2 linked regions of the Oryzias latipes genome follow. The protein of the gene in region 1 purifies or fractionates together with the protein of each later gene. This does not show direct contact. Links are inferred from orthologs where the notes say so. Each region holds a gene or a part of one and is shown in the gene's direction. Other genes may lie near its edges.

Region 1 (6,318 bases):
AAAATAAAAAATCCTAAAATTCAACTAAAAGCTAAATTAAAAAGGTAGGTCTTAAGCCTTCCTTTAAAAACATGAACTGTCTCTGCAGCCCTGAGGCTCTCTGGGAGGCTGTTCCACAGGCGAGGTCCGTAAAAACTGAATGAAGCCTCGCTGTACGTTTTTGTTCTAACTTTTGGGATAACCAAAAGGCCTGTATCAGAGGACCTCAGGGTCCGCGGGGGCTCATACTTTAAAATCATGTCAGATAAATATGAAGGCCCGAGACCATAAAAACATTTGTAAACCAATAAAAGAACTTTAAAATCAATCCTGAATTGCACAGGGAGCCAATGCAGCGATCTTAAAATCGGTGTAATGTGTATATGAAGTCATAATGTCTTAAACTTATTTTTTGCAGGTTTTTTTTTGGCCAGTAGTCTTTCTGTAAAGATGTTCTTCTTTAGTGTCGTGTTCATCATACACTCTAAAAAGAAGGAAGCTGATCCAACTTAATTAATTCACTTAAATTGGTAACACGTAATTAAATTAAGTTTATACAACTTAATTTTTTATGTCTATCCAACTCAATTTAAAATGTTGATCTAAATTACTTTTTTTTTTCTTTTCAATTTTGTTTATACCACTTAAATTGACACATTTTTCTCATTACAATGCAGGAACTCGCGTGTCGTGAACTCTGTCTCCAACTACTGCCCAAATACTCTTTTTATGTCTAATATTTGTCTTATTTTCTTTTGTTTCCAGGAAGGAGTTTGTTGAGGGGTGCAAGGCCATAAAGGCGGACAGTATAGAGGGCATCTGCTCACGCTTCCCCTGCATGTTGGTGGAGGCCCAGGGTGAGGAGAACTTCAAAGACCTTTACCGCTTCACCTTCCAGTTCGGCTTGGACGCTGACGAGGGCCAGCGCTCTCTGCAGCGTGACATCGCCATTGCCTTGTGGCGGCTGGTTTTCACACAAAACAAGCCAGAGATCCTGGAACACTGGCTGGACTTCCTTGCTGAGAACCCCTCTGGAATTCGGGGCATCTCAAGGGACACGTGGAACATGTTCCTCAATTTCACACAGGCTATAGGGCCTGACCTGAATAACTACAGCGAGGACGAGGCCTGGCCCAGCCTCTTCGACACGTTCGTAGAGTGGGAGTTGGAGCGCAGAAAAAGAGACCAGGCACTGTTTGCAAAACAGGAAGAAGAAAAATGTTCTACGACAGAGGCTTCTTCCACCACAGATGGACTTGAAACAGAGGGGGGTCGTGGGTCACAGACATGGGGGGGGCACTGACCAGAAAATAATCAACATTTGCAAGAGAGAGAAGGATACTTTTAAGTGAAACGTACATCTGTGAATCATTGGATAAATGAGTATTACCATTTCATTCGCTTTTTTTAGCTCTCCGTTAATATTGGGATTGGATTTCCGCTTTTCTCTTGTGTTATGTTCTAAGGGCTCTAAAACTGTTTTAAGCACTTCTATTTAAGTTATTTTATGTTTCCCCCTTCCTTCCATATGTTTTTAGTCATTGAACTTGTGGTCTATTTTAATACCAACACATACACACCTTAAACCAGCAGAATTTGCTAAATAAAAACGTGGTTTTTAAAGTGGTCATAACGGAGCCATAAGCCTTTTACCCAAATTTGACAGATTTAACCTAATGTGTTTTGTATAATGATTTGGTTTCTAATAAAGAAGGGACATTTTAGCAGCCTGTCTGCAAATAATTTCTTATCAGACATGAAAATTGTAATATCTAAGAAAGTATTGTGTGTTGATTGGACCTATATTGTCAGATATTAGTTTTGATTTCCAGTGCAATGTGGGTTCATTTACTCTGATTGGCTTCACGGCGACTTACTAATACATGCAAAAAACCATTGATCTCAGTGGGCGATTGAATTACATTGTGTTTTTTTGGGAATATTTAAATCTTGGTATGGTTTCCACGGTAACTGACGCACCATCTCTTGCGTGGAGTGGTTTTGAGTGCTTATTGGGCTTGAGAAGCAGAGCTTGTTTTAAGCAGTGGCTTTGCTTCCAGTTGACCTCAATTCTGTTGATGTCCACCAATTTTCAAGAGGGAATTAAAGGGATGCAACAGAAAGTCAATGACACTGGCCCATGTCAGTTGCTTCATAGATATCATCTGGGAGACATATATTGCAAGTATATCCAAGTATGAATACTCTAAAGTAAATGGATAAACTTGCAGTATATTTAGAATAGTTGGAAGTCTCACAAAGGTCCTTTTGTACTCCAAGAGTTTGAGTTTTTGCATCTTTAAACTGCAACACAAAAATATGCAACTTTTGAAGTTATTTTGATTGCATAAATAATGGCTGTAATTGCACAGAAACCAATGACTTGTTAACTTGCTGTACTCTGAATGCTATGCGGAGATTGATGTTAAACACATTTAAAATCTTGAGACTTTTCCAAACTGTGCACATAAAGTGCTACTTTGAAACGAGTGTTAATTAAACCTGCTGGTTATCAACAGACTGTGATAAGGGTCCAGTTTGAGGTTGGGTATTACCAGGTTTATTTGGTTTACATTTTTTTCTTTTCTTATTTTTTTGTTTGTATACCAAGCATGTTCATTTCAGTTTATAATGAAATATAAAAACAAATAAAAGCAGGTATGTATTTTTACCCTTTTCTGCCCTAGAAAGGTTTTTATTGGTGGAATCTAAAGACATGGAGTGGTGACGTCACATGCAAAGCCAAATCGGAGACCGGGAAGAGGGCGTGTCTAACAATGAGCCACTCTCATTGGTGGGCAGCTATCCTGGTTACCAACCAACAATACACGAGACACATGAGAAAATAGGGAAAATAAATGTGTATTTCCAGTCGTAATGACCCCCCTAAAAACAATAGCGTCTTTACATAAAGTGAGTATTTCGCTACATTTACAAAGGATTTCGGGAGGGGGAGGGTAAAATATTCAAAAGACTTTGAAGGCTGTATTTACTTTTTAAATTATTGTATTTGTTAACAACTTGTCACATGCTAACTCACTAGCTTTCCGTTTGTTATTAGCATCGGCGCTAGCTTGATTTAGAAGCTTGCTAATGTTGTGGATTCCTATGAAGATCATTTATGTGTTTAACTTTAAGCAGTATTGCAAGCAGAAAAGGAACATTAATCATCTAACCGTAACTTGTTAATGTTGAACAGAAATGGTAAGCATTACCGGACGACAACTCCCCGACTGTTACACAAACGAAATGTGGGATTATAATAAATAAAATTGTTACCAACGAGAAAAGCAGACACAAAGACTAACGGGGTCGTTTTGTTCAGATTCTTCGAGGATGTTGTTGTTGCGAACATGAGGTACGTTCTTGTCAGGACAGATGTGAATGTTAACCTTGGAATTTCCCCCTTTCAGCGATGAACGAGTTGTAAAGATGCCTTAAAAACGTTCGCTTTCCTGCAGATTATGGGATAGTTTCTTTAGGTCGGTATCATCCGCAGCACACAATGGAGGTGAGATGAGTTTTATGTAACCACTCATTTTCTCTGTCGCTAACATGTTTTCTTTATTCGAATCAACTGTCAACTCACTTTTTTCTCAACCCCCCCGCTTTACGATCAAGAAAACCTCTGGAATCGGTAGCCAAGAACGACCCCCCCCCCCCCCCCCTACAGATGTTATTTTTCACTAACAAGTATTTTCTATTTCCCTCCTTAAAATATTCATTGCCTTCCTTCTCTCCCTGACAGAAGCTGTAGATTTTGACTTGTAGATCCTAAGTAAGACCCTCCTATTTTCTTCTGTTGCATGATTTCTCATGGTGATGGAACTGGCATGACTTGTGACTGTTCTGACACTGCCAGTGCTTCTTCCACGTTCATTCTGCTCTGTTTCCCAGTATATCATGCTGGTGCTTTTTCTTGTCTGTACCATGTTTATAGTATCATTATTTATTATTTACATATTATTGAATTTGCATTTTTTATTTCATTTTTTTTGGTCATTTCTGTACGGTTTATTGCCGCAAAGATTCATATTTGTGTCTCTATTTGCCTCTAAGACAAGGGTGTCAACTTATTAAAGTGACAATTACAGTTGCATAGAAAACATATGTTTGCTTGTTACTCTAGCATAAATCCTTTTAAATTTTGTTCACTTATTAAAACACACATAACTCCATTAATGAAGGATCAGACTGTCCAAGTGAATAAAGAAAAATAACAAAACTGAGCTAAAAAGAACATGTATTACACATGTAACATTTTACAAAAAAAGGCTGCATACAGCCTTGCATCCAACTGATGGTTTGATGACAACAATTTGTCTGCATACACACAAAAGACAGTAGCTACACATAAATAATATGTAATCAACAAAAAAAAATAATTATTTTAAGAAATTAAAAACTTTTATGCTCTTGCGGGCCACATTAAATGACACGGCGGGCCACAATTTTCCTGTGGGCCTTGAGTTTGACACAGATGCTCTAAGACTTTAAGCTTTTAATTCAGCTTTTACTTACCTTTCTGAACATTTCACTATTAGTGATATGTTTTAACGTTTTTCTACAATAAAGCTTGATTCTATTTTTAAACCAGTCTGAGAGAGCAAAGTTGCATGCATAAATGTTTCAATGCCTATAATTAGGTTTTTTGTGAATACTGGTGTAAAAAAAGTAGCGCCTTTTTTGTGCCATCAGCTGTGAGTTTTTATGACTCTTGATCGTGTGTGGTTTGTTTTATGCATATGTTCCGGCAGAAGACTAAGAAGTGCCAAACGGAGAAACCTGCCTTTGCTGGAGATGACACTCTGGATGAATATTTAATCTCCCTCCAACACAAAAACAGGTGAGGTGTGAGCACAGGCGGACCCAGATGGCCAGATTGGATTTCACAGAGGAGATGATCTTGTTTGACTTTCAGTGGTGTCCAGCAGCTACACTGATTAGTTTGAGTTTTGGCTTTGAAAAATACATTTTTATAGCTGTGAAGTTTATGGACTTTGTTTTGTTTTTTTAAGGAAGTTTAAATGGCTTATTATCTATTAAAATATTTGACTTAAACCCTGTGATTTTTTATTTTACTTCTTCTTTTTAGGTACTGAACAGTTTTCTTTGGTTTTCAGAATCTTAAAGCGCCTCAGAGTAAAAGGCCCCAAAGAGATCGAGTTGGAACGTCTTGAGCAAGGATTTTCAATATATCTTAACGGAGCCAATGCTGAATGTAACAAAAGGCAGCCCAAAAGCCCCCCAAAAAAGCCTGACTCCTCTCTGCATGCACATGCGGCTGGTATGCTGTGTTTAAAAAAATCAATTTCATATCAAACATCCTCTTTTTTTAACTTATGGATGACATTTTAAAGGCTTGTTAGCTACAATTGAATCAAGCTGCATAGTTCTGTCATATGAAACAAATTCAATGCAGCAATTAAAGACCACCTCTTCCTCAGCTTGTGGTTTGCATGCTCTGCTTCTGTGCTCAGTCATTGTGAGTAAATGGAAGTGACAATTATAGCTTGCAGCAATTATTTATTTGCCTGCTTTTTTTTGTCATTTTGCATGTGCTGTGCACCATCTGCATGTGTCTTTCTCCCCTGAGGCAGCAGTCTGCTGTATGCTGCTCATGCTCCTTTCTGTGCTCTGACTCATCTGCAGATGTGTGTAGAAGCGCCCACCAGCTAGCCGGAGCTAGCCGCTTTCCAGATCAGACAAACGGTAAGAGGAGCCAAACCGCCCCAGAAAAGGTTCAGAGGAAAGAATGGGTGCAGGTACAGCCCTCTAATATTACATTCTATGATTTAACAAAGAAAAAAAAAACCAATATGTTTTTTATTTACATAATCTCCCCTTTCCTGTCTTAAGAATTCAGTTGAAATACAAACAGAGGATGGCCCAACTTTGAAATTAACCCCAGAGACGCGCTACTCTGATGATTTTGATCCCTATGAAAGTGTAGACATGGAGGTAGGGTGACGATTTCCACTAAGACGGCGTGTGTGGGTGTTTTAGGGAAGGCATTGTGTGTAAGATGTAGCTGTCTCAACCACTCAGCATCTCTCTATCTTCTCTTGTTTTTCCCATTTTTTTTTTTCTTCTGACGACTGTGATTCTGCACAGAGCTCTAGTCCTCTCTCAAGTCCTCGCTCCCCTCATAGTCCCTGCTGCCAGAGGGACCCCTGCAAGGTTTCACGCTCCAAGCCCGAGAGCCAGGGAGGCCAAGCAAGCCAGGAGCATGCTGAGAAGGTGCTCCTGAACCTTGAGGAAGTGAAGGTAAACGGAATATTACACACAAATATGTGGGGAATTTTCTTATCACATAGGAAATGTAGATATAAGTCATCA
Region 2 (6,293 bases), on another chromosome or scaffold:
TGTGTACGGCCGCTGTCGCTGAGAGACCTGGTGTGTCTGTGTTCGCATTGAGATCACCTAAAACCGGGTCCTGTTCACAAACCGCTGGACCTGGACTGCTCAAACTTGGATTCCTGGATCTTAATGCGAGAAATGCAGCAGAATGTTCCTTTATCTCCCTCGCGAATCAGAAGCTGTGAATCGCAACCCAACTTCTTCAGCGTCGTCTGACCGCACGGATTTAAAAACATATGATCGAGTAGAGCAGGCCCTTAATAATAATCATGACAGTAATAAAAGCACATTATGAAGATAGTCTCCTGCAGTTTCGCGCTGAGTGAGTGTTTTTGGTCCAACCAGCAACGTTTAGCATGGAGAAATCTGCTATCTGTTGATGGGGCTCCAGCTGTCATCAAACAGCAAATTCAGCGCGAAGCTGCAAATTAATGTGTAAATATGTGGGAATTGCATCAGTGTTTATTTTGTTCTGGACACCACTGGAAACACAAATTCATATGATGGTTTCTCAGATCGCAGCAGCATTTCCGCCTTCAGCGATCATCGGGAGCTTCGCGCTCCGCTATGCGAAGGCAGCTGGCGGTCCAAAGAACAAAAGCGTGTCCGCGGTGCGTCAGGAGGAGGACCGCAGAAGAAGGACATGCTGTTATGTAGTCCTGAGAAGCTGTGGAAACTCATCAGAAGTTCACAACCAACTCAAAGCCGTCTTCTCTGCCGCTAACACAGTCTGCTCCTGGTGCGTGTGTGTGTGTCAGCGGCCGTACACACGGAGAAAGCAGTGACGTCATCGCCCCGCCTCCCCTCTGCTAATGCTTTTAAGAAATGAATATTGCTACAAGTTTCCCAGGGTGGATGTTAAAATACAAATGCAATCCCCTCTTTGCATTTTCGTTTTAATTATGACACAGAATAAGCAGTTTTAAGTATAAAATGAAAAAGCATTTTGAAATATTGCTTTTTCATTTGAATTTTGAGTCATTTGATGCACTTACATTTTGAAAATTAAAAAGCATTTCTGTTAATCCATTTTAATTGTCAAATTAGACATTTCTAAATGAATTTTGCTACACATTTACCGTGGACCTTTTTTAAAATGAAATGTCAAATACCATTTTCTTTATCATTTTAATTAAGTGACAGAAAAAGCTGGGTTGAAGTATAAAATGATAAAGCACTTTGGTATATTGCTTTTTCTTTTAAATTTTGAGTCAAAAAATGCAGCTTCATTTTGAAAATTAAAAAGCATTTCTATTAATCTATTTTAAACATCAAATTAAACATTTCTAAATCAATTATGCTACACATTTACCAGAGAACGTCTTGAAAATGAAATGTCAAATACCATTTTCATTTTAATTTTAATTAAGTGACAGAATAAGCTGTGTTGAGGAAGGAAAAGAAAAAGCATTTTGGTGGATTGCTTTTTCATTTTATTTTTGAGTCAAAAAATGCAGCTTCATTTTGAAAATGAAAAAGCATTTCTGGTTTTGACTTTGCTTTTTATTAATGCTACAGAATCGCTTCCATAGCTTCGCCCCAGAGAGGGCTTATCAAACTCTTGGAGATCAAATTTATTGTTAATAATAATAACAATAATAGTAATAATAATTATAATAAAATCATATAAAAATCCCTAAATAAAATCAACACCTGAAAACCTACCAAATAAAAGTATGCATTTATTTTAACCTCTCGGGAAATATGTTTTCTTTAGAACAAAAAAATGAAGAATCAGTGTCAAGATTGTGACAAAATATTTGACAGTTTTCTACAATCATGGTATTAAGATCCAGCAATAATACTTTCTTTGAATCTAAAATTATTATTTACAGAAATGCAGATTAGTTTGGTTGTATCAAACCAAGATTTTAGAAAAAAAATAGAAAAATGTAGAAAAATAAATATAACCAGAAACTACTAAAATTACACAGGCTTATAAGTAAGAAACGTTTTCTTCACAGATAGCTTTTTTTCTCCCTGAAATAAAGACAAATTGCCCAAAAACACTGGTCAAAACAGCATTAATGACAATATTTAAAACATAAAAAATATTTAAAAAAAAACATAATTACACAATCACGCCGGCATAGAAACTTTAGTTTATGTCAGTCTGCCCCAGGAACAGTAGCTACCATCACCAAGTATCAATGAGGAGTGAATGAATAATGGTCACAGTGTAAGCGCCTTGAGCGTCTGGAAAAGCGCAGATAAATCCAATCCATTATGATTATTATTATTTGTAGTGCTATTTTCCTCTTGACCTTTTAAATAAAAGTTTGAACCAAATATGTTTAACCAAAGAAGTATGCCAAGGAAAAAAAAAGTGTGCCAAGGAAAGAGGAACATTGCGTCACTTCCGCTATTGTTTTACGAAGCGAAACATTCTTTAATGCTACTATTACTACGTATTTAATACGCTTTACATGTTACCAAAAATTTAAAGTAATTTTCTGTTTGAGTTTGCACATTTGTACATTAGTCAGGGTTTTGATTCCGTAAAGAATAAGCTTGGCTGCATGCATGCTCAATAATTATGCAGTCTACATAAATCAAAGCAACAAGCCAATAAATCCGTTCGAAAAACATATATAATTTAGTAAGATTATTCGTGACACGCAAAGGCGACACAAACAACATTTCTTTCTTTCCACCTAAGCCATGCAGTGATTTGTCGAAATCCCAAGTTCCCTGTAACATCGCGAGATTTGACGAGGGCCTGGCTGGAAAATATTTATGTTGTTTTCGGGATTTTCTGTTCATCTCGTCTTTTTACGCCGTCGCTTTAGTAAACACTGCAGTTGAGTGGTCGGCTTGTCTAATGTCGGTTTAAGGCGGGAATGGTGAGAATGTTTGACTTTTAAATGCATTATTTTCTAACACAAGTGGGAAAATCCCACTGTAGCAATTGTTTCCTGTGTTTTTTTTGTCAGCAGCTGGGCCTTTAAAGAAATTGGCAACAAAATGAGCGCACAGCGTTATTATTCCCACATCTACTACCATCAGTGGCAGAAAAAAAACCCTGCACAGGATTCGGTTGTAGTAATGAACCCAGTCAAGCGGAACCGTTCAGGTTAACATTTATCTAAACGCCCAGACGGTAGCTGCTCATTATGAGATGCATAAGCTAAACTGTGAACACAGCGATTTGGGAGACTTTTAAAGATGCTAAGGACGATATAAGCGCACTTTAAGAAATAATCATTATATCTAGATTAAAGTATTTTAAATGATTTTCTGCGTTTTCCCATTAAATGGATATTTGTTTGTTATTCCCGAGAGAGAAACAGATATGATGACAACGTGCACTGTGGAATAAATATACATTTATTATTATTATTATTATTATTATTATTATTATTATCTAACTATTATATGCTGATTATGTACGTGTGTAGTAGATTCAACAGGGACTCCTATGCAGATTGAGGGGGAAAAAACGGATTGACTCCACAAAATCATTGAGGATTTTTGCTGTTAATGACCCATATGGAAGCAGTCTTTTTCTAACATAAACACTATAATTTGCTTCCACCATCCACCAACAGGTGGATGCTAAGCACCTCTAAAGAAGTCATCCGATATTTGAGGGAAAAGAAGCAGGGAAAACATCTCATTTCTACCCAGCAAACATGTTTTTATTCACATTTGCTGTTATCTTTGAGGAATTATTTTCGGTCGTCTTGTGTTGTACTGGGGGGAAGGTCCTCACTACATACTTAGTTTGATGCTCTGATATGTTTTCAAATTTTAAATGTCTCTGGGCTTCTTTATTTAGCATCGGGGTCTGCAGCCACATGGGGCTCTTTCGTCCCTCCATTGTGGCTCTTGGCTTTCAATGATAATCTACATAGATAATGTTTTGTTTTAGTTAAGTCATTCTTTGTGATTAGGTCAGATGTGTCAGTTTTCTGAAATGATGGTAAAAAGTTGAATCTGCAGTCAGAGTGGTTTATTATTAGAATAAGCTTAAAGCACATATTCTTTGACTTTGAGTGTATTTTATTTTGAAAAGACTGATGTGCTGCAAAAGTCAAATGTAAAATTGTCAGGAAAAAAAATCACTTTATCACTATATTTCTTTATCACTACATGTTGATTATTGTAAATATTTGATGGCTTAATGGTCATAAATAAATTATTATTTATTTATTTTTTAAACAGTGAGGTAGTAGACTTTAGGCTCTCGTTGGGAAAATGCTCCTGTTGGCCCGCCGATTACAATCTCATCTAACATCCGTTTTTGTCATTTTTCCTTGTAACCTATCAGCAGGAAGGAGTCAAATCCATGGCACCATGACTCCTGCAGCTCTGCCTCCAGGTTTCTGCTGCTGTCACAGGAAAATCTGGTTGCATTCGGCAGCAGCAGGAGAGTTTTAAACTGCTTTCAAAGGATAATGTGGACGGTTGAGCAAAATGAATAGATACACAAACATAAGACAGCTCGGAGACGGCACCTACGGCTCAGTCATTCTGGGCCGCAGTTTGGAGTCCGGAGAACTAGTTGCCATAAAAAAGTGAGTTTTCATTTAAAAAATGCTCTGCTAAAGAGTACCTCATAATTATGAACAAATACTTTTAAGAGTTTTACATATTTTGAAAGTATTTATCAATTAAAAAGCTAAAACGCTTGGTAATATTTGGTTGTTTTCTGAAATCTAAAACTGATTTTTTTTAGAATGAAAAGAAAGTTCTACTCTTGGGAAGAATGCATGAACCTTCGGGAAGTAAAGGTAAGTTTAAATGTCTAACACTGTTTTACATAATAAAAAGCATAATCATTTTGGAAATAACAGCCAAAAAATTACAGCCTCTTGATTTAAAATTTAGAGCTTCAGTGATAATTTTCACTATAGGGTTAATGGTTTACAAAATTTTCATCTAAAAAGACTGTTAAAGCTTAAATTTTAGGGGGAAAAAAAACTATTTTCATGTTTATAAATTTGGCAACTGAAAATTCCTGAAACCTGTGATCCCTCTGACAACCAGCAGGGGGCGACTCTTCCACTTAAAGAAAACCATTTTGCACTGGAGAAAGGAATGAAAACATGGATTTCAGTCAATATATTTAATTATTACATTATTTTTTAAAGATTTATATTGCTATAAATCATGGTTTAATTCACTGCCACCAATAATGATATATATTTTTGGCAGGTGCTACCCAGCATTTAACTCCGTATTGATAGGATACAAAAAGATACCAACATGATTGATGAACAGATGGCCTTGATCCTGATTATATTTGCTATAGAGTTATTGTCTGACTGATTATTAATAGGTTGTGCTTAGATCATGTACCTTGTAGTCTAGCTGTGGAGTAATCCCAACTTTTCTTTCTTTTTGCACCAGTGTAGTATGCTTATAGTGTAAATTTCGTCACACCAGCTCTCAGGGCAGTAGGTGATTTTTGTATGCAGATGCTTCTTACCTTTTGTTACCCCTTAAAGTTTAAACTTAACATCTACAATGAATGATAGCCTGCTCCACATCCTTTTAAATGCTTGCCGCTGATTTTTTTTTTTAACGAAGCTCACATAAATGGAGCATGAGTAAACCTGCATTATTCCAATGCATGGGAATACTTTACATAGATCCTGTAAAATATTCTTAAAAGTGTTTTTAGCTTTTTACATTTTAAGCAAAGGTGATCTTCTGCTCCACTGACCTGCAGTTTTTATCCAGCATGGTTAGACTTATACATGATCACGTCTCTTACAAAAACCTGTTTTACAGTCCCTGAAGAAACTCAACCACGCTAATGTCATCAAACTCAAGGAGGTGATTCGCGAAAACGACCACTTGTACTTCATATTTGAGTACATGAAAGAAAATCTGTATCAGCTGATGAAAGACAGGTGTGTGCAAGTTTCTTTGGGCTCATACTTTCTATTAGCACATTGAACAACAGTGCTAGAGATTCCTAACTGAATGTTTTATGCTGCAGGACTCGGTTGTTTCCCGAATCTGCTGTAAGAAATATTATGTTTCAGATCCTGCAGGGGCTAGCATTCATCCATAAACACGGTGAGTTTGTTTTTTTGCCCATTTAGACTTCCTCCAGCTGAGCTGTAAAGCTCATGAGCCGTGTCTCTATTAGGGTTTTTCCACAGAGACATGAAACCAGAGAACCTTTTATGCATGGGCCCAGAGCTGGTGAAAATAGCGGACTTTGGGCTTGCTCGTGAAATCAGATCTCGGCCTCCATACACTGACTACGTCTCCACTAGATGGTGAGTCTCTGTTTGTTCACACACACTTACTGAAATGAAAGAAGCTCAGACGCTCTGGTTGTCCTT

Evidence for each region. The genes of interacting proteins can lie anywhere in the genome.
Region 2: the proteins of kiaa0556 (region 1) and ick purify together in Homo sapiens (affinity purification with mass spectrometry; 3 studies listed by BioGRID and IntAct, with this or other methods). This does not show direct contact. The link is inferred for Oryzias latipes from reciprocal best matches to the Homo sapiens genes KATNIP and CILK1.

What each region holds. Positions count from the first base shown.
Region 1 is NC_019877.2:9,517,620-9,523,937, reverse strand, and holds the start of kiaa0556 (protein KIAA0556 homolog), read left to right. Parts: upstream 1-2,745; 5' UTR 2,746-2,892; intron 2,893-3,392; 5' UTR 3,393-3,484; coding exon 3,485-3,490; intron 3,491-3,727; exon of another isoform or gene 3,728-3,757; intron 3,758-4,736; coding exon 4,737-4,825; intron 4,826-5,102; coding exon 5,103-5,266; intron 5,267-5,631; coding exon 5,632-5,744; intron 5,745-5,838; coding exon 5,839-5,940; intron 5,941-6,093; coding exon 6,094-6,246; intron 6,247-6,318. Other genes in the region: dcun1d3 (DCN1-like protein 3), read left to right, coding at 745-1,282. UniProt on the Homo sapiens protein: May influence the stability of microtubules (MT), possibly through interaction with the MT-severing katanin complex.
Region 2 is NC_019873.2:24,032,432-24,038,724, reverse strand, and holds the start of ick (serine/threonine-protein kinase ICK), read left to right. Parts: upstream 1-2,681; 5' UTR 2,682-2,837; intron 2,838-4,264; exon of another isoform or gene 4,265-4,267; 5' UTR 4,268-4,410; coding exon 4,411-4,511; exon of another isoform or gene 4,512-4,515; intron 4,516-4,672; coding exon 4,673-4,727; intron 4,728-5,730; coding exon 5,731-5,852; intron 5,853-5,941; coding exon 5,942-6,021; intron 6,022-6,094; coding exon 6,095-6,227; intron 6,228-6,293.